Elephas maximus indicus: one gene and its partners. The protein of the gene in region 3 interacts with the protein of the main gene of each other region in a biochemical or structural test. Links are inferred from orthologs where the notes say so. Each region holds a gene or a part of one and is shown on either strand. Other genes may lie near its edges.

Region 1 (10,185 bases), on a different chromosome or scaffold from region 3:
ACTAGATGACTAAGAGAGACATCATGCTTGGTACAGTGTCAGGCAAAAAGAGGAAGACCCTCAGGGAGATAGATTCATACAGAGGCTGCAACAATGGGCTCAAACATAGCAATGATTGTGAGGATGGCGCAGGACTGACCAGTGTTTCATTCTGTTGTGCTTAGGGTCGATATGGGTCAGAAGTGACTCAATGGCACCTAACAACTAACAGGAAGCAGATGACCTCTTTGGTTAGGGGCAGGGATCTGGAAGGCTCCATATGGAGGAGGACCATTTACCTGGGGCCCGGTAAGAATGCTACCAGCTCGATTAGAAGTACATTTCAGGGCAAAGCACAGCCTGGGCTTGATGTGGCAGTGTGTGGGAGGATGGTGGGTCAACTGGCAGGGGTATCCTGGTGCCCCACAGCCTCTCACTACCCAAGGAGCACCTGGGGCGGAGGCTGCTGGCTGTGTGCTCAGGCTCTGCTGGTCCAACTAGCCCAACCACTTCTCTCCAGGCACTGCCCACTGCCAAGAGTAGTTGGCAAACTGTGAGTGAAGTCTGGTCAGGGGCCTAGGATCCCTCCATTCCAGTGCCAGAACAAAAGAATTAAGCGGTCCAGATCCCCAGGCTGCCCTGCTCAGTTTCCGAATGCCCCATAGCCACGTGCTCCAGAAAGCCTGCCCTGATCGCATCCTGCCAACAGAACAATTTCTAAGATGCAATGACAGTGTGGAGGGTAGGTGTGCCTGGGCAGCATATGCACGAGAGAGAGAGAGAAATTATGGGTGCAATTATAGATTTCTACTTCTGTAAACCTGTCTTTAATTTTCCTTATTTGCTGTAATGGAACTGGAAATATATTACTTTTTCATCAGAACAGCTTCCTCTCATCTCCTATCCACAATTCCTTGTTCTCGAGGTCTTTTCAGAGGCTCCAAGTTGAGGAACAGGCTAGGTCGAGGTGGTAAATGATCCTTGCATCGGTTGCGGCATCCATAAAATGGGTGTGCTCGGGTCTTCCTCACTTTCTTGGATCGAACCAGTGTCAGGGGAAGCTGCCGCCTGGCGCCCGAGCCCAGGTGGCGGCACCTCTCCAACCGCCAGGTGGCTGCCGGGCCCCGGAATAGAGCCGGGTCGTGTATAGGCTGGCCTGCGTCAGCGGCTGGGAGGGCGCCTCCCCCCCGGATTGGAAAGGCTTCCCTGGGGCTGGGCGGGGCGGGGCGGGGCCCCGGCGAGGGCGGGAACGGGACCTGTCTGTACCGGTGCACGGAAGCCGAGCCTGCCCGGCCGTGCGCGCGGCGGCCCCCGGGAGTGCGCGGCTGTGCGGGTGTGGATGGGGGTCTGTGGGCGGCGCGGCGGACTCTGGTGGGCGGGCGGTCCTACCCATCCTCTCCACCTTGGGGGCCGCCATCCAGCCCAAGGATACCTCCACCCTCCAGCTTCCCCCGGGCCAAGCTGGGCTCCGTGAGCCATCCTCTGCGGGGGAGAATAAGGCATAGGCAGGTGACGGGGCTAGTGAGGCCCGGGGGCTGTGGTAACTGAGCCCTCTGGACACCCCAGGTGCCTGCGCCTAGTGTGAGGCGTCAGAGCAGGGTGAATGCGGAGCGGGAGAGGGACAGGGGAGGTGAGCAGGTGAATGGGGTAGAAGAGAGGTCTGTGTCCAGGGGATAGCCGTGGCTCCTGACTGCCCCAAACACCAGTGCCAACCCTCCTCCCAGCCCTTTGTAGGGGGCAGGTGGGCAAAGGGGCCAGGAGGGGTTCCCAGAGTAGAGCTGGGGCTGGGCTGGCCTGCCAGCGCTTCAGGAAAGCCCTGTGCCCCGCACTTTTGGAAAGCACCTTCCCCTTGTCTACGTAGGCATTGCTCAGGTTTCACACAAACACACATTTACTGAGGAAGGAACCTGGAGACCTTTAGCCCAGTCTCACCAACCCTTTATTTGGGAGTTAACAACAACTTGGATTATTGAGTTTTGCTACTAGTGCCTCAGGAGCTTGGTCTCTTCAATCTTCTCGACACCCCCATGAGGATATTACTATAATCTCCACTGGACAGATGGAGAATTGGACGCACAGCTAAAGCACAGGTCCACGGCAGAGCCAGGATGTGAATGTGGGCCCTCCAGCCCCCTGACCTGGCACTTCCCTGCCATGTGGCACTGTCTCCAAGGCCACTGCTTTTCCCACCTGCCCTTGCCCTCCCACCCTGTGCCCCAGGCTGATACCCCTGTTAATGATCTTCATGGCAGCCCAAGGGTTGGCCACAGGTTGGACCATGTCCCAAGTGCCCTCCCCACCGTCACTACTCCCAACCGGACCCTTCCAGGCTCTGACATCTCCAGCAGTTGCACAGGTGCACCATCCTGGCTGGCCTGGGCCTCCTGCTCCAGAAACATGAACCCACTCTCCTTTTGGCCAGCCAGTGCTCTAGGTATGATGGGAATGCCTCTGGCAGCTGAAGCATCAGGGAGGGGATAGGGACAAACAGAGACACAGTGAGCGAGAGGCAGAGAGGGGCCCAGTGAGGAAGACGCCAGGACAAGGACAAAATCCTGGCTGAGAGTAAGTAGGTGGGGCACCCATCCTGCCCACAGCTGGGTGGACCCTAGGGACAGAGGGAGGTCCAGGCCCTTTCTAGGCTGCTTGGCTGAATCCTGGGGGACACCCAGGGTTCATGCCTCTCAGTGAGACAGCAGCAGCAGGAGTCAGACTGACCTTCTTCTGGACAGCCCAGGTGGGCTCCAAGGGTGGGAGTCTGGACTCTGCCCAGTGCTACCCCGATCCACCCATTTCCCTGGCTGCAAACCTGGATGAGGAGGAAGGGAAAATACCACTTCTTGGTGCTTGCTTTGGGCCCAGCCCTGTTCAGGGATTTACACCCTACGTCACTCAAGGCTATCGAGAGCTCTTCCACAAATGAGAGCCTGTGGCTTGGCACAATGACAATACCCAGTAACTCTGGACAGTGTGGACTGAGCCCCCACTGGCGCCCACCCTGGGTAAAGCACTGCGCACATCACCTCACTTAATCCTTACTAAGCCCCTGAGATGGGCTTTTCATCAGCCTCCTTTCATAGGTGACAACTCAGGCTCCGAGAGGTATGGTTGCCCGCCTAGGGTCACACGGTTGGCAAGTGGCGCAGCCAAGACTTCCTCCTAGGCTTCATTGGGCCCTTCTTAGGTCAATGCCAGGCAGGTCACAGGGGCACCTGGATTGTCCCCCCCCACCGCCCACTTCCATCTCTTTGGCACCCAGGAGCAATTCCAGGGTATAGGGTGGCTCCAGCCAACCTTGACCCAGGCTCCCTGGACCCCATGCAAGCTGGTTCCCCCTAGGTCCAGGGCCATCTCTGAAGGGAAGCCCACCTGCATCCCTCCTGTGTCCTGGCCACAGCATGGCCTGCACAGCCTCAGCTCCTCTGCTCCCCCTCTGAATGCATCGCACTTCTCCTTGGAGTCTCCAGAGGAGAAAGTCGCTGAGGTGCTCGCAGAGCCTGAGCTCTTGAGTCTGCATAATCCTGAGGGCCAGAAATGTGCTTCCTGGGGTCTAACTTAAATCATTCTTGCTCTTGCAACACCAGCCCAACTCTAAGGAACGGCTATCAACAAGGGGTGCTTTTACCCTCCTGGGGACATTTGGCAATATTTGGAAACATTTCTCATTGTGGCAACTTGGGGAATTGCTACTGGAATCTAGTGGGTAGAGGCCAGGAATACCCCTAAATTTCCTAGAGTGCACAGGATGGCCCCCACAACAAATAATTATTTGTCCCAAAGGTCAGTAATGCCGAGATTCAGAACCTCTGATTAAAGCATGGGCTTTGGAGACAGGCAGACCTCAGTTTCAATCCTACTGGCTGTGCACCCTTAGGCAAATGGCTTCACCTCTTTCTGAGCCTCAGTTTGCTCATCACTAAAACTGGCACTAATAGTGGCTCTCACCTCACAAGGTCCTGAGAACTGATCAGACAGCACACATCCCGCACCCTGCTCAGGGCCTGCGTCTTGGGAAGCTCCTGTCAGTGACAGCCATTGTTTTCTTTTCCTTCTTTTCCGTTTTCCAAGGCGAACAGCAGGAAGCAAAGGTCTGGTGGCTGGACCTGGAACTCCCCAGGGGTCAGCCCTCCCCCAGCAGTGCCTGGCACAGTGTGAGCCTACTGTTGGTGTTGAAGGAGAAGCCAAGTTGTTTGTTGTGGACCTAGAGGGAGGAGCCAGAAAGGAAACCTGATCCCAGATGGGCAAAGGTCACCTGAAGCTCACCTAGCTCATTCTTGCCTCCAGCCCAACCCCAGGGAAGCCATGGGGTGGGGGTTGGGGGGGCAACCAGGACACAAAACACCCTAATATATATGGCCCCTTTGCTCAAGGATAGGGCACAGATTCAAAGTAGACATCAGGGAGTTGTGGCATATGAGTGGATACAACCAAGACAAGTAGAGATATGAGGGGTGGGGGTGAGAATGACATTTGGGCCCAGGGAACCGCATGTGCAAAGGCCTGGTGGTGAGAAGGAGCAAGGCTATTTCCCAAATGGTAGTCCAGTGTGGCCAGAGGTGTCCACCTTGGTAGAAAGGGCCCACCCTGATGGGACGATGGACAGGCGTCAGGGCTGGGAACCCGGACATCATCTGGCTTTCAAACTGGGTCCTCCCTCTTCCTGGGGTGTAGGGCACCAGCCTGTGCTCCCTCTCAGCTGCCACATCACCCCCCACCTTGGGAAGAGTAATTGTTGTTTTTCTGTCTCCAGGCCAGACCCCCTCCTTTCCTGATTACCACCTCACTTGCAAACAGGATTTAGGATCTTCCTCTCTCTTAGTCTCTCCATCCCCAGGGGGTTTCACTAGCCACCCCCCCCCCCCCCGCACCATGCCCATCACAGTCCTGCAGCCCAGCCCCTCTTCTCTACTCATCTGCCCTGATCTCAACCCAGGGTCCTCCCACCTTAACAGGCAGCCCCTCTGTCCCCAACCCAGCCCCTCCTCTCTCCTGCAGCCCCTCTGCCCCATCTGTCCCCCAAGAAGCCCACTTGATCCTGTCATTCCACCTCATGTAACCACCTTTACGACCTTTCCACTTCTTCAGAAGACCAAAGTCCTAGCCATGGCCCCCTTGCTCAACTCAGGCCTTCTCAGGGATTGCCCCCACTTCCATCCCTTTGGCCTCAGCCGGGAAAAGCTGTTCAGATCCTTCTCATCTCCTCTAGGTTGTCCCCCAAGGGACCTGGGACCTGGAACCCTCTTCTCTGCCTGTTGGAAAGTGATATTTCTTTAGATGAATACAGGGCTAACAGCTTTGTGAGCTCTGCCTGCAGGGTAATGGACTTACTGGGGTCCACTCGGTCCCCAGGCCTTGGGCCCAGAGGACACTCAGTGAAGGGATAAACGAGTAAATGAATGAATGAAGGCCCACAACGATGTTCGGTGTTTGGGAAGGAAACTCGGGCATCTGCGGGGGCGACAGGGAGCTTCCTAACGTAAAGGCAGGAGAGTGATGGACTGGGGGGCCGGTCAGGGTAGGGGACGCTCCCAGAACCCCTTGGCTAGCGACTGGGACCGGGTAGAGCCTGCTGCCCTGGAGTCTTCCCGGCTCCATCTCCGGGGGCAGGCCTGGCGGCGGGCACGGAGCCCGGTCGCGTCCGCTCTCCAGCCGACAGGAAGAGACGGATCTAGGTCTGGCAAGGCCGGCCGGTTGGCCGACGGGGAGTCCCGGGCGCGGGCGCGGGCGCGGGCGCGGGCGCGAGGAGCCGGGGAACCCCTGCCGCTGCCTCCCGGGCCCCAGTGTGCTGGAGTGAAGGGGCTCCCGTTTGGGGCCTGAGCGCCCTCCTTTGTAAAAACAGGACCCTCTCTGAGGGCTGGTGCGCACACCGAAGACGGACGGAGGGTGAAGTGTGCTGGGGAAGGCAGAGATGGCCTGAGACTCTGTGACCCGCACCGAGGTAGGCGGAGACAGCGGACCCCAGGCTCCGAGCTGGAGGGGGCAGGCCTCCGAGGGGCGGGCCCTGGTGGGGGCGGTCCCTGGTGGGCGGGGTCAGAGAGGGGGCGGGGCCGGTCGGCACCTGGGTGAGGTCGCGCCGCCCCGCCCCCTTGCACTTCCGTGTGCGGCGGCGCCGGAGCCGGAGGCAGCGATTGCCGGGAGCCCCTGAGCGACCCCCGGCGTCCGCCCACCGCGTCGAGACCCGGGTCGTGTCTCATCTGCCGCCGGGCCCGCTCGGGTCAGGGCCCGCACCGACCTCCGACCCTCGCGCGCGCCTCAGAGCCGCGCGGGGAGCCAGACCCCAGCCGCCGAGACCCCTGGCGCCTGGCCCCGCGCCCGGAGGTGAGTGAGGACTGGGCCCCGGCGCGGGATCGGGGCTACCCGGAGGGCGCGCCATCCCTCCCTTCCTCCCCCGCCCCCCCGCCTCCGGTTCCCCTTTCCGAAATCAAGAAACTGAGCCGTAGGCGGCGAAAGTCCCGCCGCGCCGAGATCCGCTGGTGCCTGCGTCCCTCCATACGACGGCGGGAGCCGAGGCCCCCTAGTCCTCGGGCTCCCGGCTCCTCTCCCCGACTGGGCGTCCCTAGCCCCTCCGAGTGTCCCTCCCGAATCTCTCTGGGACCCTCTGTCCGTCGGTCTGTCCCCACTCCCTCTGTGTCCCCCTCTCCGCATCTCCCCAGTCCTGTCTGTCCTTCGTCCCCCGTGTGCCCCATCGCCCCCCTCCCCGCCCCTTGGTCCTGTGCTCCGGGAGCCGCACCCCCAGATCACGCCCGCCGCCCCCTCCGCGGCCCCTGCCTGTCCTGCCGCCTCTCATTTTTCACCGCGGGGCCGAACCAAGCCAGGCCGCCCGCCGGGCCTCGCCTCCAGCTCCGGTGTCCCTGCCCGGCCCGCGCGGCGCCTCCTCCTCGCTCTCTCTTCTTTCAGTCACTCTTTCTTTCCATCTATCTCTGGGCTGGGCTTGGCTCTAGCCTCCACCCCACCTCTCTGCCCTTCTGCCCCCTTCAACCCTCTCCCTTGGGGGCACTTGCCTGGTCCGTCGGTCCCCGGCCCCTGCCCTGCCCAGGCGCCATCTCCGACGGGGACCCAGCCAGGTGAGGGGCGGGGGCAGGGGAGGCGGGAGCGTCTTCCCGGTCCGGAGGGAGGCAGGAGATTTGCACTGTCAGAGCAGCCCCTCTTGCTCAGCTCCCCGGCTTGGGGAAGGGGAGAGCCCCACTGAGCCTCCCACTTAAACCTGGGGCTTTTGCGTGAGCAGGGAGGGGTCCCTTCTCTTCTGGCCCCCATCCTGTGCGCATGGACCTTGTCTCCCTTGCTGAGTCGCCTGTGTCTGGGCGAGTGGGTATGTTGTGTGTCTAGATCTGCTTGTGTGTTTTTTGTCACTGTTTCTGGGACTTGCCTGTGTGTGTGTCCTTTCTCACGTGTGGGACTTGCCTGCGGGTATGTGTGTGTCTGGGTGTGTGTCCTGAGGCTCTGTGTGAGTCCTTCCAACTATGTGTGAACCATGTCTTGGTGTGTTCTTTGTTACTAGACTCCCCCTATGTGTTGGATTAAGTATGTGAGTGTTCCTGTGTGTCTCAAGGGTCCTGCGTTGCACACTGGGTGTGTCATGGTGACCCACCAACCATTTGACCTGTTAATCGAGGTAGCCCCCGATATCGGGGTGCCAGTCTACCAGGCTAATATGTGTGTATGAATATGTGCACACACGCATGTAGTTCTGTTCCTCTGTGACTGAGCCACCGTGATCAGGCTGACCTGGTCACCAAGGGAGGGGACTGTTCCCTTGGGTTTCCTTCTTCCTTCTGTGGACTGAGGTGGGGCGTGGCAGACAGACCGGCAAAGGGCAGCTCTGTGTGCGTGTGTGTGTGTGTGTGTGTGTGTGTGATGTTGAGGTGTTTGGTCAGCCACTACCTGGCTGTGGGGTGGTGTAAAGGATCCGGTGTGTGACGGGGCTGTGGCTGGGGGTGAGTCCGTGGCGGTGTGGGGTTACGATGTGAGCGGATGACTGGTGGGAGACTCACAGTCTGACTGTATGAAACTGCAAGTGCGTGTGCTCGGGGAGTGACCGTGATTGTGGGGAACTGAGAGTGCCTGGGCATGGGTGTCGGTGGCATTAGGGGGTGTGACAAGGTGTGTGGTGCCTGTGCCCTGGGTGACAGTGCCAGGGGCGGGGTGAGAACCCAATCATGAGCGTGTGGTGGACTGCCAGGGTGTGAGTGTGCACACAGCAGGCCCCAAGCCAGGCCCTGGCTCCTGGGTAGTCTGGGAAGGCCCAGGCCCCATACTTTGCCATCCTCTGCTCTCCCAAGTTGACACACACCGGGGGAAAGTCTTGGGGTTTGTAGTGTTGTAACTAAGACCTCGGGCTCTGGAACCAGAAAAGACTTAGGCTCCAATACTTGCTGGGCATCTTAAGAGCAAAAGATTCAGCTAGGCCTCTCTAAGGCTCAGTTTCTTTATGTGCAGAATGGAGAAGGTCGTCCTGAGGACTGGCGGTCCCGTGTCAGGGGTCCTTTATCACCGCATTGGCCTTTAATGAATGTTCAGCACATATTAAGTCTTATTTAGCCACCGCCTCTCCAGCTGTATGACTCCCATTCTCCTGGGAGTGGGGCTAATGGAAGCCCAGACAGTCACCAACCCAATTTCCTGCCTGGGATGTGTCCATTGATGTTATCTTCCCACCTCCTTGACCAGGCTGCTTGTGGGAGGAAGCAGAGGCTGACAGAGCCCCTAGCACTCAGCCCTGTTCGGCCCCACCCCTAGTTTCAGCAGCAGCGAAGGGGTGGGGGGTCATTCCGACCTGTGACTGCAGGGTACTGACACCGTTTAGCTGGCACAGCTAATTGAAGTTTAAATTGAAATTAGAAATAATTTAAAGTACAGACAAAAAGATAAAGCCTGAGGATACATTAGCCCCTAGGGAGTGCTGATGGGGTCTCTAGCTGGGAGAGGGACTCACATCTGGGGAGGGGCATCTTTTGTAGGTGCCTGGCCGGCAGAAAAAGGAGACCAGGGCCTCTTTGCTGCCTTTGCCATCCATTCCTTTCAGGATAATTCTGGGCCTTAGTTTCCTCAGCTGTATAATGGGTACATCAATAATTGAGAATATCCAGAGCTACAAGGTACCAAACAAGGAATGAAAAAGTGTTACTATTCATTTGATACTCCCAATATGAGTCTAGCAGAGGACTGGGCATGTCTCATCATTGGAGCCTCAGAACCACCCAGGGAAATGTGTACCAGCATTCTTCCCATTTTGAAGATGAGGAAAACTGAGGCTCAGAGGAGTTGCTCGAGACCACAGAGTAGGGGTACCTGATTGCTTCCTAGGCCCCCCAAAGCCTGCAGGGTCAGGAATGGCTCTCTTGTGTATGCCCTATGGCTTCCCCACCAGGCTGGAAACACTCGGAGGGCAGGAACACAGTGTTCCACCCCCAGCGTGGAATGGACATATTACCGTTGCCCAGGAAATGTTGGGCCCACCACCCCATTTCACAGAAGAGGAAGCCGAGTCCAGAGAGGCCTGAGGTTTCAGAGCCAGGCAAGGATGAGCTGGGCCTATGTCAGCCATGCTGGGGCTGACCGATGGGGAAAGTCTGTTTGGCTGCACCTTCTGGCTCAGCTGTTTTCTCCTGTCCCTGCAGGTCTGCTGGGAACTGGCCCCGGGTGAGGGCAGCGGGCCTGCTTCTCTGGTGGTGGTTGCGTGGCGGCGGCAGCACAAGCAAGGACTAGGCTCAAGCAGGAGCTGGAAGCCACAGGTAACACTAGGTCCTTTTAGGCGGATGGACAGATACGCAGTGTTCAGGGGCAGCCTTCCTCCTTGGGCTCCTCCCCTCCCACCATAGGGTGGGAGTAGTGGGGTGCATGAAGAGTCCTTGCACTGGGTGTGGGAACTGGGGTCCCAGAGGAGGCAGTGGCTTGCCCTGCCCACCGGGGGTTCCCTGGCCAGACATTGGCTTCTGGCCTGGGGAAGGCTTCGGTCTTGGAGCTTGGAGGCCTGGGACCCATCAGTGGTTCTTGGGGCAAGGAGGGGTGACGCTTTGCTGGACAGTTAGAGAGAAGTGAGCATGTGAGCCTAGGGTTAGGAGTGGATGTATCTGCGCTTCTGTGGCCCCTCGTATCTGCCTCAGGCTGTCCATATCATCACACAAGGAAACAGATTCGCCCTGGCCCCCACAAAGAGTCGGAGACTGAACTGAAAATGGAATTGGGTCTTCCAGTCTTGGCACAACC
Region 2 (9,978 bases), on a different chromosome or scaffold from region 3:
AAAGTGGCCAAGGGGCCCTGCCCCACCCCGTCCAGCCTCTCAGCGTCCCTGTTCCTGCAGCAGAGCCCAGAGGACACAGCCAGCAACGGCAACTGTCCTGACCCTCCAAATGCCCCAGGTTGGAGGTCTTCTTGTCGACGTGGCCGTGACCGCTTTCCCTGTGGGTCATGGCGATTTTTATATAAACGTGTGAAGATGTTGTGTCTTGTGTTTCTGTCTTGTTTTTGTTGGAACCACCTTTTGTTGCTGGCTCCGCCTGAACTGCCGTGTTCCGTTATGTTTTTATAGCTGGGTTGGGGAGGGTATTTTGGGGAGCGGGTGGGTTGGGAGGGAGGTGTTTAACAGCACTGTGGCCTTGGTCTCTAACTTGTATGTGAAACAATAAACTACATTGCCTGATAGCAACTTGAAGTGTTTTTCTTGGGCTCCGTTGGGAACTGACCTTTCCTCCCTTGTTTCTTGAATGCCTGGTGGGGAGCCACCAGGGTGGTAGGAGCTGGTTTCCAATATTGTACCCCATTTTGAGCATAGGGAGCAGTTTTAGGCAGTTGTTGGGTGGTGAATCATTGTGTTGAACCCTCCTTGGTGCAAGACTTGCCTTTACTGACGATGGAGCTGCCCTGTTATCTGGGGTAATATGTATGAGTTCTGTGCACTGAATCTTCAGAACTGGAGAGAGATCCTGGCTACAAATCTCTGCTCCCCCACTTTGTAGCTCTGACTGCGAGGTTAGTTCTTTAGCTTCTCTGGGGCTCAGCTTTATCACCTATAACGTGAATACAGTGATATCTACCTCATTATTCTTGTCTTGGGGTTCAGTCCCTGGAGAAAGGCATTCATGCTTGGTAAAGTAGAGGATCAGGGAGAAAGAGGAAGACCTTCAACAAGGTGGATTGACACAGTGGTTGCAAAAATAGGCTCAAGCATAACAATTGTGAGGATGATACAGGACCAGGCAGTGTTCTGTTCTGTTGTGCATAGGAGTCAGCTCCATGGCACCTAACGACAAGCCTGTCTTGAGAAGCAAATGGGATGCCTGGGAAGTGTCATCACTATGAAGTCAGCTTCTGTTGTGAAAGAGGGGAGACCAGTGTTTTGTGATTCTTGCTGAGTGATACTTTCTTGCCCTGTGCGAGTCACTTCACTTTTGTCTCCTCTAATCTCAAGGAAACCTGTGAGGAGCCATTACCACTATCAGGAAGAATTTAAAGCAGGTCTGACCAGCCCTCAGGAGTCCCTGGGTGGTGCAAACAGTTGAGTGCTCAGCTGCTAACCGAAAGGTTGGAGTCCACCCAGAGGTGCCTCAGAAGAAAGGCCTGAAAGATATACTTCGGAAAAGTCGCCCATGGAAAACCATGGAGCAGTTCTTCTCTGACACACGGGGGGGCACCATGAGTCAGAACTGACTGGACGGCGACTGGCTGGTTGGTAGTTGCAGCTGGAAAACAAGCCCTTCTGGCTGCCTTACTCCTCAACAAACAGCCTCCACACCCAGGAAACTGACACCTGGTCACTGAAGGTGCACTGGATGGAGCAGGGACAAGGTCCGTACAGGGCCTGTACACGAGGACTGGAGTCAGGGGACTTTAGTCCAGTGGCACCACTAGGGCTGGTGTCAGCCAGTGCAGCAGAACCCACCCCTCCATCCAGAATGGTCCCGCTCTGCCCCGCTCCCTGCTGCTCTGGGTAGCCCCTCCCCTCTGCCATCTGCCAAGGCAGGACCCTCTTCTCCACCCAATGGCAGGCACGGTGGCCAGGCCTCCTGTACCCTGACCGGCTGGTGGTGGGGGGAGGTATGAGAAGGAGGTAAGGGTAATGGGGGTGATGATGAGGTACCACACTGGTAACACCAACCCTAGAGACTGGTGGGTGATGGGGGGAAGGGTAGGTAATGAAGAGATTGCACTGGGAGACAGGTGACACCAGCCCTAGTGATGCCACTGCCTTCGTGGCCCCTCCCCCACCACCACTGGCCAGCCCACTGCCACTGCCGCTGCCACTGCCATGGACCCTGGGGTCATTTTGGTGTCAACCCCTCTGACAGCCCACACACCCACCCCCATGCCCCCCAGTGACACCACTTCTTTAGTACCTAGCCCTGACTGTGTCACTAGTCTGTGACTTTGGACAAGTCACTTCCAGTCTCATTTTGTTCAGTGGTAACATAGGAACAACACACCCAGTTCCTATAGCTGGTGGGAGGGTCAGTGGTGTCCAAACTCCAGCCTGTGCATGGTGGCATCAGAATCACCTGGGGACCCTCAACCACGGAATCCAGGCCCTGCCCTGAGAGGCTCCGATTCTGCAGAGCTGGAGTGGGACTCCGGAATCTCTGTTTATGTAAACTTCCCTGGGAGATTCCAATGTGCCACCAGGTCCAGGTGCCACTGTTGAGATAGTGCTTAGCTGCTAACGGAAGGGTTGGCTGTTTGAACTCATCCAGTGACTCCACAGGAGAACGGCCTGGCAATCTGCTCCTGTATAAAGATTACAGTGTGGAAAACCCTATGAGGCAGCTCTACTCTGTCACAAGGTGTCGCCACGAGGGCACCTAACAACAACATGCAAAGGTTAGGCATTCAAATTGCAGCTATAGCGCTTGTTTCCTGGACTTAGTTTCCTCAAAGGGGCATAGATAGTTTGTAGTGGAAAAGGAAGGAGGGAAGAAAGGCGTGGGGGGCGGGGAGTAGAGAAGGAAAGAATGATGAAGGAAGGGAACCCACCTTGAATTCTAATAGCAAAAGGGCTGAATTGGGGCCCTGGTAGCGCAGTGGTCAAACATTTGGCCGCTAACCAAAAGGTCAGCAGTTCACATCCTCCAGCCACTCCTTGGAGACCCTGTCGGGCAGTTCTACTCTGTTCTATAGGGTCGTTATGAGTTGGAATTGACTCAGTGGCAACAGGTTTGGTTTTTGGTATCCTCACTATGGAAAATTAAGTACCTATTACAAACAGTGAGTTAAATCTATGTCTACTGACCTGGAGGAACATCCATAAAATAATGAGAAAGGCAAACTCCAGATTAATTTAGTATCATTTTTTTATTAAAATCCTCCCATACATGTAAATACACATTTGTGTGAATGGGGCAAAAGGAGTGGAGGGCTCTGTTCCAGTTGTTCACGTTGAGAGGTGGGACTGGAGAGGAGTGGGCGGGAGATGAGGGAGATGGTGCACTTCAGTTTAATAAGAATAACAGCAAGCAGACCCTACGCACCAGGCACCGTTTGAATTCACTATCACTGCCTCCGTTTTCCAATCATTAGAACAGGGCATGTTTGGTAAAGTACAGGGTCAGTGAAAATGAGGGAGATACTCCATGAGGTGGATTAACACGATAGCCACAACAATGGACTCAAACATATATACGAACGATCATGAAGGTGGCACGGGACCTGGAACTGTTTTGTGCTGTTATACATAGCTCACCATGAATTGGAGCTGATTCAAAGGCAACTAACAACGACAATCTCCATTTTACAGATGAAGAAACAAACACCAAGAGTTCACAGTAACTTGTTCAAGGTCGCATAACTCAAAGGGGCCAGAGTTGACATATGAGCCTGTAATTAAAGATCTTAGTACTATTTAAGGAGGTAATACAATAAAGTGGTTGTGGGAAGGGTTGGTGGGTAAAGAAGCATTTCTAATTCATAAGGATTTCCAGGCACAAAACCAGCTCCAAGAGGGCATCGTTCAGTTACATAGATTTCCACGGACCCCAGAGAAGTCATGGTTCTGAGGCTAGTCCTAGAAGCACTCAGGTTGTGTGTGGGCAGGGCCCCAGAATGAGTTCTCTAAATCTTGGGGCCAAACAAACTCTGCCCCTCGGTGCTGGCTGGGTCTCTGACACAGCTTGGGGCAGATCCTGTTAGCAGGGGCATGCTCACGCATCCTTTCTGACAAATGGGCAAGATAAGGCAGCCCCCCAAGATGCACAGGAGATGGCAGGACCGGGTTGACAGGCTCAGCCCAGACACTGGCCGCTTGGTCACACCTCTTCAAGCTTTGGATTTGACTTTTTCTTCAGTTTGTCAGCAACAGGCAGGGGCAGACACAAAGCTGTCACTCAACAGTTTGTAAAGCTTAGGCTGTGGCAGTGGCAAGCACAGAGGCAAGAGGTTGGAAGAATGGGGTTCTAATTCTGGGTTTGAACACCAATGCATTTTCGCATTTTTAGCTGATCTCTCTGTGCTTTATCCCTATTTGCATAATTCTTCATGGGTTTTTTTTTTTTTGGCTGTAATGTTTAAGGAGGCAGATCTCCAGGTCTTTCCTCTCCAGTGCTTCAGGGTGGGTTCAAATTGCCAGCCTTTTGGTTAGTGTTCTTGTTGTTGGGTGCCGTTGAGTGGATTTCGTCAATTCTGACTCATAATGACCCCATGTGAGTAGAGTACAACTGTTCCATAGGGCTTTCTAGGCTGCAATATTTATGGAAACAGATCGCCAGGTCTTTCTTTCATAGAGCGGCTGGATGGGTTCTAATGGCCAACCTGTTAGCAGCCAAGCCCTCAGCCATTGTGTCACCTGGGCTCCTTTTTGGTTAATAGCTGAGGGCAAACTTTGCCACCCAGGGACTTTATGTGTACAAGGAGGGAGTTGAGATACAGCAGAGGTCACAGCTCACAAGCCTTTGGGGGCCAGACCTATAACCTGTGGCAGTTGAGTCGATTCCGATTCATTTTGACCCTATAAGACAGACAAGAATTGCCTCATTGGGTTTCCAAGGCTGGTAATCTTTCTGGAAGCAGACTGCCGCATCTCCCTGCTGATTGGCTGGTGGGTTCGAACTGCCAGCCTTTTGGTTAGCAGTCAAGTGTTTAAACCACTATGTCACCAGGGCTCCTTGGGGGCCAGATAGGAAAACTTAAGGGGAGAATTAGGCTGAGTGGGGACTGGGTGAATTGGAGAACCCATGTTCATCTAAAGGGTAGGAGCCACTCAGTTCCAGCTCATGTTGTTACTTGAGAATGCAAGCCCAGGTGTTGCCCAAATCTTCCAATTTTTCAAGTTAGGTTGGAAATCACGTTGTGAATTTTCTCAAATGTTAAACAACATCAAATAATTTAAGAATCTTCAGCTTTTGGAGGCAGCGTGTTAGGGTGGAAAGCACACGAAGCAGGGATGCAGGCGACTGCGTTCCAATGCTGCCTCTCCCATCCACCGGCCACAGGGCCGTGGGCTCCTCAGAACCACAGAGCGCTGGATCGCACTCTGGCAAGGGTTCGCCTCTCTGGGCCTGAGTCTGTCATTACAAAATGGGGCAATTTGACCCTCTAATTTCTAAGCTACTTCTTTCACCCCACGGTTCCGAAAGGGGTCATTTTCTTATTGTTGCATGCCATTAAGTTGATTCCCACTCATAGTGACCCCATGTGACAGAGAAGAACTGCCCTATATGGTTTTCTTAGCTATAATCTTTACAGGAGCGGGTCGCCAGACCTTTCTCCCGCAGTGCCACTTGGGTGGGTTACAGCCGCCAAATTTTCAGTTAGCAGTTCAGTGATTTACCATTGTGCCACCAGGGCTTTTTAAAAATCTCAGGAAAAGTACACGAAACAGCTTTCAGCACTTCTACCGGCAGCCCGCACTCATCCCGTCCCCTGAAAACTGGCCCGTCCGCCATCTTTGCACCCGCCCCACCCGCGCTGCCACCACTACCGCGGCCTCTTCCTTCCGAGTCAGAAGTTTCGCGCCAAATCAATTGCTCCTCCCACAGAAAATGGAGCCCGGAAGAAGGCTAGAACTGACGTCATATGCCCCACAGCCAATCCTCTCCGGCGGGAGGCGGGGCTGGGAGGTCCGGGGTTTGATCACGGGTCGCACAGTGGCCCAATCGCTGGCCGCAGGGCTCCGGCGAACCAATAAGGACTCAGCGGCCGCGGCGTCTGAGCGCGCCGTCCCGCTTTTCCCGCGAAACCCGGCGGGGAGCAAGGAGGTTCCTGTCTCCCGGAGCCCGTGGAGCTCGGGGAGGGAGAGGTGAGGCCGGTGGGACTAGGCAGCCGACCCCACGGAGGTCCCCTGGCATCTGCACTTTGGGTCTCAGTGGAGGTGGCCTCCGGGAGGGGAACTGGGGCCACCCTCACCCCCACTCATTGCCGGGACATCCCTGCTTCTGGTTCCGAGCAGAGGACCCTGGCGTCGGAGGGGAGAAAATGCCGCGCACTGCTCCCAGCCCGCCTTAGCTCTTTATTCCCCTGCCAGGTGCAGTCATGTCGGGCTTCGACGACCCTGGCATTTTCTACAGCGACAGCTTCGGGGGGGACCCCGGGGCCGATGAGGGGCAGGCCCGCAAGTCTCAGCTCCAGAAGCGCTTCAGGGAGTTCCTGCGACAGTACCGAGTGGGCACCGACCGCACCGGCCTCACCTTCAAATACAGGTGGGCACTGAGAGGGACTGGAGCAGAGATGCACCTTCAGCCCCTCTGCTGTAGAGCTGGGGGTGGGGCAGACCATGTTTGGCCACACTTCACTTAGAGCCCATTAGTGTCCTAGACAGCCTGAGCAGAGGTTGGAAACAGGACCAGAGAGCCGAATCACCCGGGTCACAGCGCGTTTTCCACTCCCCTGGCCCCCAGAGCATATGGTTTTATCTGTTTTATAACTGAAGTTAATTTTGGGGTGTGTCGAATGGGCCACTAACAACCCAGCTAGGGCTGCTTGGACAGAGACAGGTCTTGTTCCTTGTTCAAGTGCTTCTTATGTTCTTCCAGGTAGTGTCTGTGATACCTTGTAAGCTCAAGTTGTCCATGGGTGTAAATGGTGAAGATGACAGCTAGGGTTCCCTTCACTCATTCATGCATTCATTCATTCAGTCTTGAAACTTACAGTAAGTCTCTGGGTTATGAACGTCTGACTGAGAATGTCTGACTCAGGACAACTGTACTGGGCCTTTAATGTTACATCACTTTGCTCTCAGTTTAAAACGACTGAACCAGCCCCTCCTCAATGAATTCTTTATCACAATCACCTTCATTTGCTGCACGTGCAGTTTTTAATTCCTTGAAAGGACTTCAAGCCTTTTCTTGCACTAAAGTAAGGCTAAGTAATAACCACGCAGAGGACCCAGAGGACCTAGGCCTCAGGGGGAAGGGAATGCCATGTGCCATTTCCAGCCTGTCCTAGCTCTGAGTTCTGACTTAACTGCAAATTTCTAAAGACACACTTAGGAATGAATCTCACTGGTAACCCAGATCTCTTATATAACCCGGGAACTGCTTGTGTATTGATTGAGCACCTGCTGTGTGCTGGGTGCTGTCCCAGGTGCTGGGCCACAGCATGGAACAAGCTGGACAATGGACAAATCCCTGCCTTTCATTCATTGTAAAAGCCAATGGTGTCTTGTTGAATTCTGGTAGGCCAAGCTACTATCTGGAGACCATAAAATGCAGAGAACTTGAGTTTGTTAAAGTCAGGCCCTGGATTGAACCCGACCAGTTCTTAACTGAGTGACTTGCAAGTGACTGTCTCTCTGGGCCTCAGTTTCTTAATCAGTAAAGTGGGTATAGCCATTCCTGCCTCCATTTATAGCCAGACCAGCTAACACTGATCACCTGCAACGTGTAGGGTACAGTGCTAAGCACTGAGATACAAAAATGGAAAGACACTGCTTGCCCTGAAGAGGCTACTAAGTCAGCAAGGTGAGGCTTAGAGACCCACAAATAAATTACAAGGTGATAATTGCCTCAGTGGAAGAGTGGAAGGCAGAGGAAGGAGCTGAAGTCTGACTTGACAGTTGAGCTGAGGGAGGAGTTTCGGGAGTGGAAGGCATTCCAGGGAGGAGTGATTGCATGGATGGCCTGTTATACAAGGAAGGGTGGCCTGTTACACAAGGGACTTTCAGAGACCGGCTGACGGTTTGATATGGCTACTGGACAAAGTAGAAGAGAATGGGTCCTGAGATGAGGCTGGGGAGCAGGCTGTGCATAGGTCAGTGGTCCCCAAAATGTGTTCTTGGAACAGTTCTGTCTGATGCTCTGTAAAAAGAGTGTCTAGTGGTTGACAAGACAGTCAAGGTCCCTGCTGCCAGGGAGTCTCCAAGTTTGAGGTTAGTTTCCAGGAGTGAGTTAAAGTTTCCAAGGAGTCATGCAGTGAAAGTTTGCAGTGAGTGTCTGCCAAGCTGACCTGTGCGGAACCCCGTCTTCGAGCATTTAAACGTCCTTTATCTTGCGGGCGCTCCCGTGGAACTTTCTTTGGAGGACTCCTCTGTCAGCACCGGGGAGCCTCTGCAGCACCTTGTAGTGAGCTGTTTGCTTGGCTTGGGAAGGGGAGGGCGCGGTGGTGGCCGCGCTGCAGGAGATGTAGATGTGCAGGCACCCCTCAGCCAGCGTTGGTTTCCCTCCTGCGCACCCGCCCGCTATAGGGATGAGCTCAAGCGGCATTACAACCTGGGCGAGTACTGGATTGAAGTGGAGATGGAGGATCTGGCCAGCTTTGATGAGGACCTAGCTGACTACTTGTACAAGCAGCCAGCCGAGCACTTGCAACTGGTGAGTGGGCCCCCATCCCTGAGCCTTCCAGGGCTGGCCCTGCCCCATCACAACAGCCTGTCCCCTTCCTCTTCTCTAGTTAGAGGAAGCTGCCAAGGAGGTGGCTGATGAGGTGACCCGGCCCCGGCCCACCGGCGAGGAGGTGCTCCAGGACATCCAGGTCATGCTTAGGTCGGACGCCAGCCCGTTCAGCATTCGCAGCCTGAAGGTGGGTCCACCTAGGGGCCGGTCTGAGGGTGGTGGCAGCCAGTGCATGGTGGAGAGGGGCAGGCCTGGGCACCAGCTGTGTGAGCCTGCCAAGTCACTCCACCTTTTTGAGCTGGTTTCCTCCTCTGTAAAACCAACTCACGGGACAAATGTTTACCGAGCCCCTCCTGTGGGCCAGGCATTGTGTTAGGTCCTGGAGAAACAGTGACAGACTGAATGGACACACTCCCGTCCTTGAGGAGCTTACATCCAGTGGGGGAGACGGAGCATGCCAGTCAACATTATACGTGATAGAAGGTTACGTGGTTGTAAACTCAAGGAAAGAAATCAAGAGGGTGATGAGACTTCAAGGGACAGCGTAGCAGGGGCAGGCATCTAGGGACCATGGTTTCGGGGGACATCTAGGTCAATTGGCATAACAAAGTTTATTAAAATGTTCTGCATCCCAGTTTGGTGAGTGGTGCTTGGGGTCTTAAAACTAGCAAGTGGCCACCTCAGATGCATCGGTTGGTCCCAACCCACCTGGAGCATGAAGGAGAATGAAGAACACTGAAGACATAAGGAAAACATTAGCCCAAGAAACAGAAAGGGCTATATAAACCAGAGACCCCATCAGCCGGAGACCAGAAGAACTAGATGGTGCCCTGCTATCACCAATGACCACCCTGACAGGGAATGCAACAGAGGGTTCCTGACAGAAGAGGAAAAAAGTGGGGTGCAGAACTCAAAGTCTGATAAAAGGACCAGACTTAATGGTCTGACTGAGACTGGAAGAACCCCAGAAGACATGGCCCCAGGACTCTCCATTAACCCAGAACTAAAACCATTCCTGAAGTCAGCTCTTCAGACAAAGGTTAGACAGGACTATAAGACATAAAATGATACTGGTGAGGAATGTGCTTCTTAGCTCAAGTAGACACTTTAGACTAAGTGGGCAGCTCCTGTCTGGAGGTGAGATGAGAAGGCAGAGGGGAACAGGAGCTGGTTGAATGGACGCAGGAAATCTGAGGTGGAAAGGGGAGTGTGCTGTCACATTATAGGGATAGCAACTAGGGTCACATAACAATGTGTGTATAAATTTTTGTATGAGAGACTAAAGCTGTGAACTCTCACTTAAAGCACAATTAAAAAAAAGAAAAAGGGTGTTGAGAGAAAGCGTGGAGGCCTCTCTGGAAAAGATAGGGAATGCTCCTTTGAGGAGGTGACACCTGACATGATGTGAAGTCCTTAAAAGCAAGGATCATGCCTGAGGCTCCTGTGAACCCCGTGTTGAGGGCAGCCTG
Region 3 (9,620 bases):
TTCCAGTAAACATAGCTCCAAGTCACTGAATCAACAAGTATTTTAAAAGCAGAGATAAATGTCAAGTGAGTGTTCCTTACCAGTCTTGCTTTTCTAGCCACTGGGCCAGGTACTGTCTGACTTCCATGGGAAAACTGTCATCATAAAGCTGGTGAACCTGCTCTAGGAATTTGGAGTCAAGCTGCTGAAGCTCGTACCACTGAGACATCCTACAGGGAAAAAGAACATGCATCATGACTGGAAGACCACAGCTCCAAAGAAAGTGTATCTAGCACCATGTTTTTAAAAAATAATCCAAAACATAATATATCTTTGAAATATGTTATTTAAGTGGTGCCTATATTCTAAAGCCCATTTTTTACTGAGTTTTGGGATCAACATTTTTTTCTTCTCCAGGAAGCATATCTTTAGGTCTTTTCTCAAATGTCAACACACCAGGGAAACCTTCTCAAGCTACCTCATTTAAATTGCAACCTGGAAAATACAATCCTGCTTTCTTGATTTATTTTTCTCCATAGCACTTATAATCATATATTTCCTTTTTTTATTTTGCTCTTTGTCTGTTTTTGTCACATGAAGAGAAGAATGTTGTTTAGTTTTGTTCACGGCTCTACACCCAGAAGAGCGTAGGACACATATAGTAGATGCGCAATAAATATGCCTTTAAAAAGGATCTTGCATCAAAAAAAATCAACAGAAAACATTTTTTAATCAGTAGATTTGGTTTAGGACAAACTGCACGAACTCTCCAAAAACCAGTCTCTACAAATTACCTCACAACTGGAACAATAAACAAACAAAAAAAACCCAAACCCACTGCCGTGGAGTCGATTCCTACTCATAGCAACCCCATAGGGTTTCCAAGGCTGTAAAGCTCTATGGAAGCAGACTGCCACATCTTTCTCTTGCAGAGCCACTGGTGGTTTCGAACTGCTGACCTTTAAGTTAGCGGTCAAGCGCTTTAACTAACCGCTGCACCACCAGAGCTCCTAGGGGACCAATAAACAACATCAAATAATAAAATGAGGGAAAACCGAAGTTGTCAAGGATTTCATACTTGGATCAACAATCAACATCAGTGAAAGCAGCAGTCAAGAAATCAGACGACGTATTGCATTGGGTCAATCTGCTGCATAGGACCTATTTAAAATTCTAAAAAGCAAAGATGTCACTGAGGACTAAGGTGCACCCTGCCCTAAGCTGTCACCTTTTGAATTGCCTCATATGCATGCAAAAGCTGGATAATGAAACAAAGAAGACAGAAGAAGAACTGATGCATTTGAACTGTGGTGCTGGCAAAGAATACTGAACATAACACGGACTGCCAGAAGAACTAAGCAGTCTTAGAAGAAACACAATCGGAATGTTCCCTAGAAGAGAGGGTGGTGAGGCTTTGTCTTGCTTATGTTGGACATATCATCAGGAAAGATCATTTGCTATAGAGGAACATCATGTTTGGTAGAGGGTCACTGAAAACTAGGAAAACCCTCAATGAAATGGAATGTCACGACAGCCTCAACAATGGGCTCAAACATAACAAAGATCATGGAGATGATACAGGACTGGGCAACGTTTCCTTGTTATACACAAGGTCCACAAGAGCTGGAGCCCACTCAACGAGCCCACTCAACAGCAACTCACAACAACCAATTACAGTACATTTGTCGTTTACTCAAACGATTTGACACTGGTATCTTACGGCATGGTGGTTAAGGGCTCAGCTGCTAACCAAAAGGTCGGCAGTTCAAATCCACCAGCCACTCCTTGGAAACCCTATTGGGCAGTTTTACTTTGTCCTATAGGGTCACTATGAATCTGAATCGACTCGACAGCACCTAACAATGACAATGGTAAAATTAATCATTTTTGATTATACATCTTTTTAAAGCGATATATTTTTCTTCTTTGTCTACCGTATATAATACATCTGGATACAAATCTTCAATCTTAGAAATGATTTGTAAAGATTAAAGCAACACTTAAAATAATCTGAAAGAATAAGACAGTATTTATCTCTTGGGTTAAATGTAAGTCAGTTTTTGCACAGCAGCTCAGAAGTTTAAAAATAAGACAATATCTGATTTAAAAAACCAACCCAAACCCACTGCCATCGAGTTGATCCGACTCATAACAACCCTACAGGGCAGAGTAGAACTGCCCGATACAGTTTCCAAGGAGTGGATGGTGGATTCGAACTGCCGACCTTTTGGTTAGCAGCCGTAGCACTTAACCACTACGCCACCAGGGTTTCCAATCCGATTTAAGGAAGTCTTAAAATCCATATGAAAATGAAGAACCTTCCATTACCATAGCATAACTCAGGATTTTTATCAGCCCACAGTTAGGAACATTCGGAGCGGATATAAGTGGATCTCATCCTGCCAGGCCTCTAAGGGAGGGTCTGAATTTTCAAGGATATGGGAGAGTGTGTGTACTCCTGCAGGCTCAACTTCATGCCAACTCCACAAACCTCCTTCCAAAGGAAGGGGACTGACTGGCAAGATTACAAACCTGGCTGCCATCACCAATGCCACTAGAACAGACCGGAGCCCACCTCTGTGGCAACCTGCTGTAGCAATTTCATTTCTCACTTAAAATATATTTTACCTACGCAGAAGTCTCGGAATCTCTCTCTCTTCCTGCTAAAAGAAACCACTGCCGTCGAATTGATTCCGGCTCATAGTGACCCTATAGGACCTTCCTGCTAGGTGTCTAATAAAACCCATTGTCGTGGAGTTGGTTTGGACACATACGAACCCTACAGGACAGAACAAAACCGCCCTATAGGGTTTCCAAGGAGTGACTGGTGGATTGGAACTTCTGACCTTTTGGTTAGCAGCCATAGCTCTTTAACCACTGCATCACCACACACCCAAAACAAATACTCCAGCCTGAGTTTCAACCAGCTGGGACTGCAACTCCTCATATTAGCTGGATGACCTCAGGTTGCTCTCTCCCCTATCAGCATGATGCTTATTAAGGCTCCGTGGGCTAGTATACACACAGAACATAGCACAGAGCATGAGATCGATAAATAAACATTAACAAATCTAAAATCAATCTTGTCTTCTCACAAAACCTGTTACTTCCCAGGGAGTTGCATCACCATCTCTCAGTCACCTGGTTCAAACTCCAGTCTACCACTGCCCGCCTGATGGACTACATTACCTCCTGCTTAAGAAGGCTACAGGCTTCTACATTCCCAGGCCAACTTCTGGCCCGCCTCATTCTCATCCATATACAAAGCAACCCTACCCCACAGCTGCCACATCATCTACTGTTTTTTGACTGTGCTCAACATTTCTGCTTAGCTCCCGCCAACACACGCACCTGAAAACAGCCTCCCCACAAATTTCTGCCTCTGCAAATCCTACCAGGATTGAGGCTAGGTGCAAATGCCTATTCTTCCCTAAAGCTGTCTGAAACTTGCTGCTGTTGTTGGGTGCCACTGAGCTGATTCCGACTCGTAGTGATCCCATGTGACAGAGCAGAACTGTCCCGTAGGGTTTGCTTGGCTGTAATCTTTAAGCTTTCTTTGACTTGTGTGCCTCACTGTATCTGAACCTCTATTAGAGCATCAGTCCCAGGGGTCCTTGTAACGCTCTACGATGTCTCCCCTATGTGATGTAAGCTCCAGAGCTGCAAGGACCATGCCTTATTTTTCTTCACATCCTCTGAACCTAGGACAGCACCCTGCACAGTATGTGTTCCATAATAGCTGGCTAAACTGATATCTAATTCTCACTGAACTGGGATGAAAACGGCAGACCATATTATGGCCCAACAAGTTCCTCATTAAGCAATGGTTGCATACTAGATTGTGCTGGAATCTTAAGACTTATTTCTGTCTCATAAAAACAACCTCCCCCCAACTTCTACATACAACATCCAAAGCACAATCAGCCACACACCTATACATATATCCTAAAATGCTTCGGTATTGCTCGGAATTTTTTTTCAAGAGTAATTATACTCTTCGGGGTTTGCAGGAGCTACATATCACTTTTTAAATTCCCAGAAACCATTTACAAGCCATATGCTCGTTCATTCTTTTCCACGAACATTTCCTTGACTGCCACCTTGTGCCTGGCACGGCACGAGAGGCTGAGGATCCAACCAAAGCAGCAGCTACACTCAGCGCGTTAGGTGCCAAGACTGTTGGGTTTGCATGCACAGGGTGCAAGCGTCTGAGCTACCGAGGGTGGTACATGGAATAGGAAAACTTGCGGCGAAAAAGCAGAAAACGTCCCGCTGCACAGTCCCGATGGCCGGCGTTCCGGGACGTCCCGCCCCCAGGCACCCGGCACCTTGCGCCACTCACTCTGCGAGCCAAGCCCGGAAGAGGTGGACAGGGGTTTTTGAGGATGTAGCGGCGGAGACGCGTAGGTGCTGCCTCTCCGAGAGCTCCGAACCGCCTCTTCTAGGTCTGGGGTCGAACCGTCGCGTCCCCTAGCGCAGGTAGCCCTCTCGGCAGCCTCTGCGCAGGAAAACGAAAGTACCAGGCTGGAGAAAAGGCCGTGGCCACAGCACTGCCTCCTTCCGCCTCCGCCAGTCACCGAGCGGCTGCCGCGCTCGGCCAATCAGACGCGGCTGTTCCGCGGGCGTCACCACCTCCCTCTGCGGGGCGCTCCCTTTCCCCTCCCCGCACCCGCCTTCCGTCGCGTCTTTCCGTAATCGTTAGCGGGGCCTGGACTTAATGACCTAACTTTCAACTTTTTTGCAGTTTCGCCGACTGAATGCTATTTGCATATTTCAGAGAACAACTAAAAGGAAGTGCTGTGTTTACAGCGGCCCAAACTTGACCTAAAGGCGCCCTGGCGGCGCAGTGGTTCAAACGCTCTGCTGCCAACCGAAAAGTTGGAGGTTTGAACCCATCAGCTGTTCTGTAGGAGAAGGGTGTGGCAGTCTGCTTTTGAAAAGGTTACAGCCTTGGAAACCCTATGGGGCAATTCTCCTCTGTCCTGTAGGGTCGCTATGAGTCCGATAGGACTCCGGGCAACGGGAAAGTTGGCCCTGCATTGGCCCCATACCCGAGAAGCCGAGGTAAAGAACAAAGTTGGTGATGTTACCATTCTAGAAACTCAGCAGCTGACTTCCGTGTAGATAAATCCAGCGGACGGACGTTTTCCTGTCTTCTCAGAAACATTTGGCACAGTTGACTCATTCTTGAAACGCTTTCTTGGGCCTAATTACAACACATCCTTCTTCCTACTGCTGTGGCATTCTTTATCTAAAAAGAATGCTGACTCCATCTTTACTACCAAATGTTAGTTTTAAGTTTTAGTCAGGGTGGACTTTGGTCAGCTTCTTTACCTACACTTCTCAGGCGGTCCTCTGGTGACATTACCCATAGCTTCAATTGCCTTCTAGATGTGAAAGACTCTTAAATGTATCCTGTCCCCACCTCCCGTCTGAGCTCCACACCCTAGGCCCCCTTGATTCTCCACTAGGATGTCCCACAAGCTCTGCAGCCTGATGTTCAGAACTAAACTCATCATTTTCCTCCTGAAATCTGCTCTTTTTCTAGTGATGATAGTGCCAGAACCCTGGGAGAGATGGGTTCCGTTGTTTTCTCTCTCACCTCCCCCACCCCCCAACCTGGTCCTCAAGCGTTGTTCCTTCTTCCCCTTAAATATTTCTCAAATATCATTTACTTTTCTCCCTGTCTTCTGCCACCCACCCCCCATCTCTTATTTGAACTGTTGCAGTACATTCCCAAGTGACTGTCTCTCATCAGCTTAGTTCCTTTTAATCGATTCTCCATACAGTGATTTGAGTGATTTATTTATAATTTGCAAAGTAGAACATGTCATTTGTCAACCTGAAAATCCAGCAATGGTGTTTCTTTGCTCTTCTTATAAAATACAGATTTCTTAACACAGATTACAAAGCCCTGGCTCCCCTATCCCTTTCCCCATCTTGTAACACTCCTTCTTTACTTACTTCAGCCTTTTTTTACTTCAAATAAGCCCAGCTTTTTCCCCAAACTTGGTGCCCTCTCACCAACAGTTCTCTATATTTGGAAAGTCCCTTGAGCCAACACCCCCTCCCTCAAGTTTTTTGCTGGCTAATTCATCTTCTAAGTCTCAGTTAAAAATCTCAGCTTAAATATACTTCCCTGGGATAGCATCATGAAGTCAGACTAGATTAAGTCTTACTGGAACGTATGCCATAAAACCAACTGGTTGCTTCAAGTAGATGGGATTTGAATCAAGCCTTGAATAATAGGGCAACTTTAGATAAGAGAGGTTGGCCTCTCCAGAATTTAAATAATTCCCCAGGAACATGCACATAGGTATGTATTATAGTATTTTACGATTTCCACGTCTATATACCCATCTTCTTGTCACACAAGTACCCCCACATGGCAAGTACTGAACTAGTAATAGCAATGACTCTGCTACCAAAGTAGTAGTGAAACCAGCTTTCTGTACAAAGAGATGCCAGACCACTAAGAAGGGCTCACAGGTAACTGGAAGTCTCCTACTCACTTGTGCAAGGACCCGGGGAATGTTTTATTCCCTGAGAAAAGCTGATCCTGGGAAAGGTAGATAATATGTTAAAAGTATGTTTTTCTGGTACTATAAAACACTACCTTCCCTATGCCTTCAGCCTCCTTTGTTCCTCTGTCATTGACTGTACAAGCCCTCCTCGCTTCAGAACTGAATGCCATGATACATACACTCCAACTAGACTACCTTCTTCTTGTCTCTTTCTTCTTCACTGTATATGCTGAATCAAATTCCCTAGAATGTTGCTTTAATAAAGTCATTCCTTTCTCAAAAACTCTTAGGAAATCCCTACCATGTTTATGATAAACACAAGCTTTGCCTGCTAGTGCTATTACCTAACTAAACCCATCTATCCCTTCCTCTGCCCCCACACTTTTAATTTTCCCATTTCTACCCCTTTGCATATACTATTCCCCCAAATAACAAATCCTGCCCCTTACTCTCTTATCAAAGTCTTACCCAGCCCAAATATGTTCTCCTTCCTGAAGCATCTCACCCTGTGGTGGTCAGTCTGGTCGCTATGTAAGTGTCTACTTGGGACCCTGGTGGTGTAGTGGTTAAGAGCTACAGCTGTTAACAGGAAGGTCGGCAGTTTGAATCCACCAGGTGCTCCTTGGACACTCTATGGGGTAGTTCTGCTCTGTCCTATTGGGTCACTATGAGTTGGAATCGACTTGACAGCAGTGGGTTCTCTGAAGTGTCTATTTATTTTTACAAGAACCATAGCAAGTCATGTGGCCAAGACCAGAGGCAGTGCACATGAAGGTATAAACTCCCCCCCCGCAAAAAAATCATTGCAGTCGAGCTGATTCTGACTCATAGTGACCCTACAGCACGGAGTAGAACTGCCCTGTTGCATTGCCAAGGCTGCAAACCTTTACGGAAGCTGACTGCCACATCTCCCTCTGCAGCTCACCTGGTGGATTCAAACTGCCAACCTTTTCATTAGTAGCCTAGCCCTTAACCACTTCTCCAACAGGGCTCCTATGTAGAGGTATACTCTACCCAAAGTGAACCATGGCAACGGGTATAGAAGGAAAGAAAAAAACTGAAAATACAACCGAGTACAAACGGTATTAGCTAGTTTTTTTTTTTTTTTTTAAGATTTATATCTTTTGCAAATTTAATATTGTTGTATATGAACAGATGTGACGTATGCCCCGTCTGGTCAGAGGCTTTTACTATTCTGTGCAATTGACTTGTCCTTGTGTGATCCTTCCCTGCACCAAGATATGGCATGCCTCAGGTAGCCGCTGCTTCCTCCACCTGGGTCCAGGAACCAGAGATGTGTGGAACAGACTCCAACCTGCCGCCTGGAGCAGTACTGCAGCAGCCCACCCACAGACCCTTGAGTGAGAAATGTTTGTTGTTGTCGTAAGTCACTGAGATAAACCAAACCAAACCAAACCCGTTGCTGTCAAGTTACTTCCGATTCATAGCAACCCTATAAAAAAAAAAAAAAAAAAAAAAAACCCTATAGGACAGAGTAAAACTGCCTCATCGGGTTTCCAAGGAGCACCTGCTGGATTCGAACTACTGACCTTTTGGTTAGCAGCCGTAGCCTTTAACTACTGAGATAAGGAGGTTGTTTATTGCCACTGAAATAGCTGACTAATTCATAGATGGCAGAATCTAAATTCCAAGTTTTTTTAAACAGGCTAGAATGCTGCTGGAAACCCTGGTGGTGTAGTGGTTAAGTGCTGTGGCTACTAACCAAAAAGTTGGCAGTTCGAATCCACCAGGCGCTCCTTGGAAACTCTGTCCCATAGGGTCGCTATGAGTTGGAATTGACTTGACAGCAACAGTTTATTCAACGGTTTAGAATGCTGATGGGCCAAAACCAGTTGGATAAAATTCAACACAATAAATATAAAGGCCTGGAGTTAGATTAAAAGGTCCCTGGGTGGAGCAAATGGTTTGTGCTTATCTCCTAACCTAGAGGTTAGCAGTTTGAACCCACCCAAGTGGCTCAGCAGAAGAAAGGCTTGGTGATCTGCTTCTGTGAAGATTACAGCCAAGAAAACCCTATGGAGCAATTCTACTCTGTAACAAACACATGGAGTAGCCATCAGTAGAAATCGACTCGATGGCAATGGGATTTTTTTTTTTTTGGGTTGAATCAGTTCAGGACTGGCAAGTGACTTACTGTGACCAATATTATGCAGCAGACATGATATTGTGTCATTCCGAGCATAGGCCTCAAGAGATGTTAACATGCTCTGGTATGTGTCGGAATGCTGCCCAGCTTTCGTGAGTACAAGCCAAGCTAGCGTGTTGGAGAGACCACCCAGACCTCAGCTGAGTCACTGCAGTCATCTGAAAGCTCTGGCCTCAGACATGTGAGAGAGTGTGGGTGAGCTCAGATGGGCCTGACCCAGATGAACAGAACTGCCAGCCTGCTCTAGACTCAAAAAAAAAAAAAAAAAAAAAAAAATTTACAAGCAATAGTAAATGATTGTTGCTTTAAGCCACTGAGTAGGGTAGTTTGGTGTGTTATATAGCAGTAGATTACTGATACAGATTTTATGGGAGAACGCAAAGATTTTACTACTGAATTCTAAAGCACAATTGCTTCAATACAGCAGCTACAAGTCTGATGAACAAATCTGTAGTTACATATTTAGAGACTTTCCCTAACCCCCAGCTACCATATTGTGTTTTAGCCATATGTTTCTAATGCTGGTAGTAATGTTGGTAACCTAAATATCTAATAGCAGGAATTTGCGTAAATGCCAGTCAATACCTCTTCATCCCTTCTCCTTTTCGAATGTTAGCTCTACCATGCAACCCTGAGAATGTCACTAAACCAGTGTAAACCAAATTTGTTAATCTGTGATATGATGTAAATAGAGGACTTCTAAAATTTCTTCCAGTTCTTAGGATTTGGATTTTGTATAGCCACTTCCTTGACTTGGTGTATATATTTTCTTTCCAGTTAAGAAGGACTGAAGTCGTAGGAGACTTCATACATAGCAACTTATTAAAATTCAGAGGTATAGAATTGTAGGACGTACATGACCGGATATCGAGGAAAGCTATGAGTATTTTCAGGAAAATGGCCACGTGCAACCAAGCCATATTCTTTTCATTAAATGAAAATGGGCACAT

The links.
Region 1: of the proteins of STAT1 (region 3) and PRKCD, one has a biochemical effect on the other in vitro, tested with the Homo sapiens proteins (2 studies listed by BioGRID). The link is inferred for Elephas maximus indicus from reciprocal best matches to the Homo sapiens genes STAT1 and PRKCD.
Region 2: the proteins of STAT1 (region 3) and MCM5 form a complex in vitro, tested with the Homo sapiens proteins (2 studies listed by BioGRID). The link is inferred for Elephas maximus indicus from reciprocal best matches to the Homo sapiens genes STAT1 and MCM5.

What each region holds. Positions count from the first base shown.
Region 1 is NC_064838.1:57,354,208-57,364,392, forward strand, and holds the start of PRKCD (protein kinase C delta type), read left to right. Parts: upstream 1-6,050; 5' UTR 6,051-6,297; intron 6,298-9,596; 5' UTR 9,597-9,710; intron 9,711-10,185.
Region 2 is NC_064822.1:178,857,875-178,867,852, forward strand, and holds the start of MCM5 (DNA replication licensing factor MCM5), read left to right. Parts: upstream 1-5,877; 5' UTR 5,878-5,979; intron 5,980-6,204; 5' UTR 6,205-6,212; coding exon 6,213-6,379; intron 6,380-8,361; coding exon 8,362-8,488; intron 8,489-8,567; coding exon 8,568-8,696; intron 8,697-9,978. UniProt on the Homo sapiens protein: Acts as a component of the MCM2-7 complex (MCM complex) which is the replicative helicase essential for 'once per cell cycle' DNA replication initiation and elongation in eukaryotic cells.
Region 3 is NC_064824.1:89,263,963-89,273,582, forward strand, and holds the start of STAT1 (signal transducer and activator of transcription 1-alpha/beta), read right to left. Parts: upstream 4,560-9,620; 5' UTR 4,322-4,559; intron 210-4,321; 5' UTR 209-209; coding exon 81-208; intron 1-80. UniProt on the Homo sapiens protein: Signal transducer and transcription activator that mediates cellular responses to interferons (IFNs), cytokine KITLG/SCF and other cytokines and other growth factors.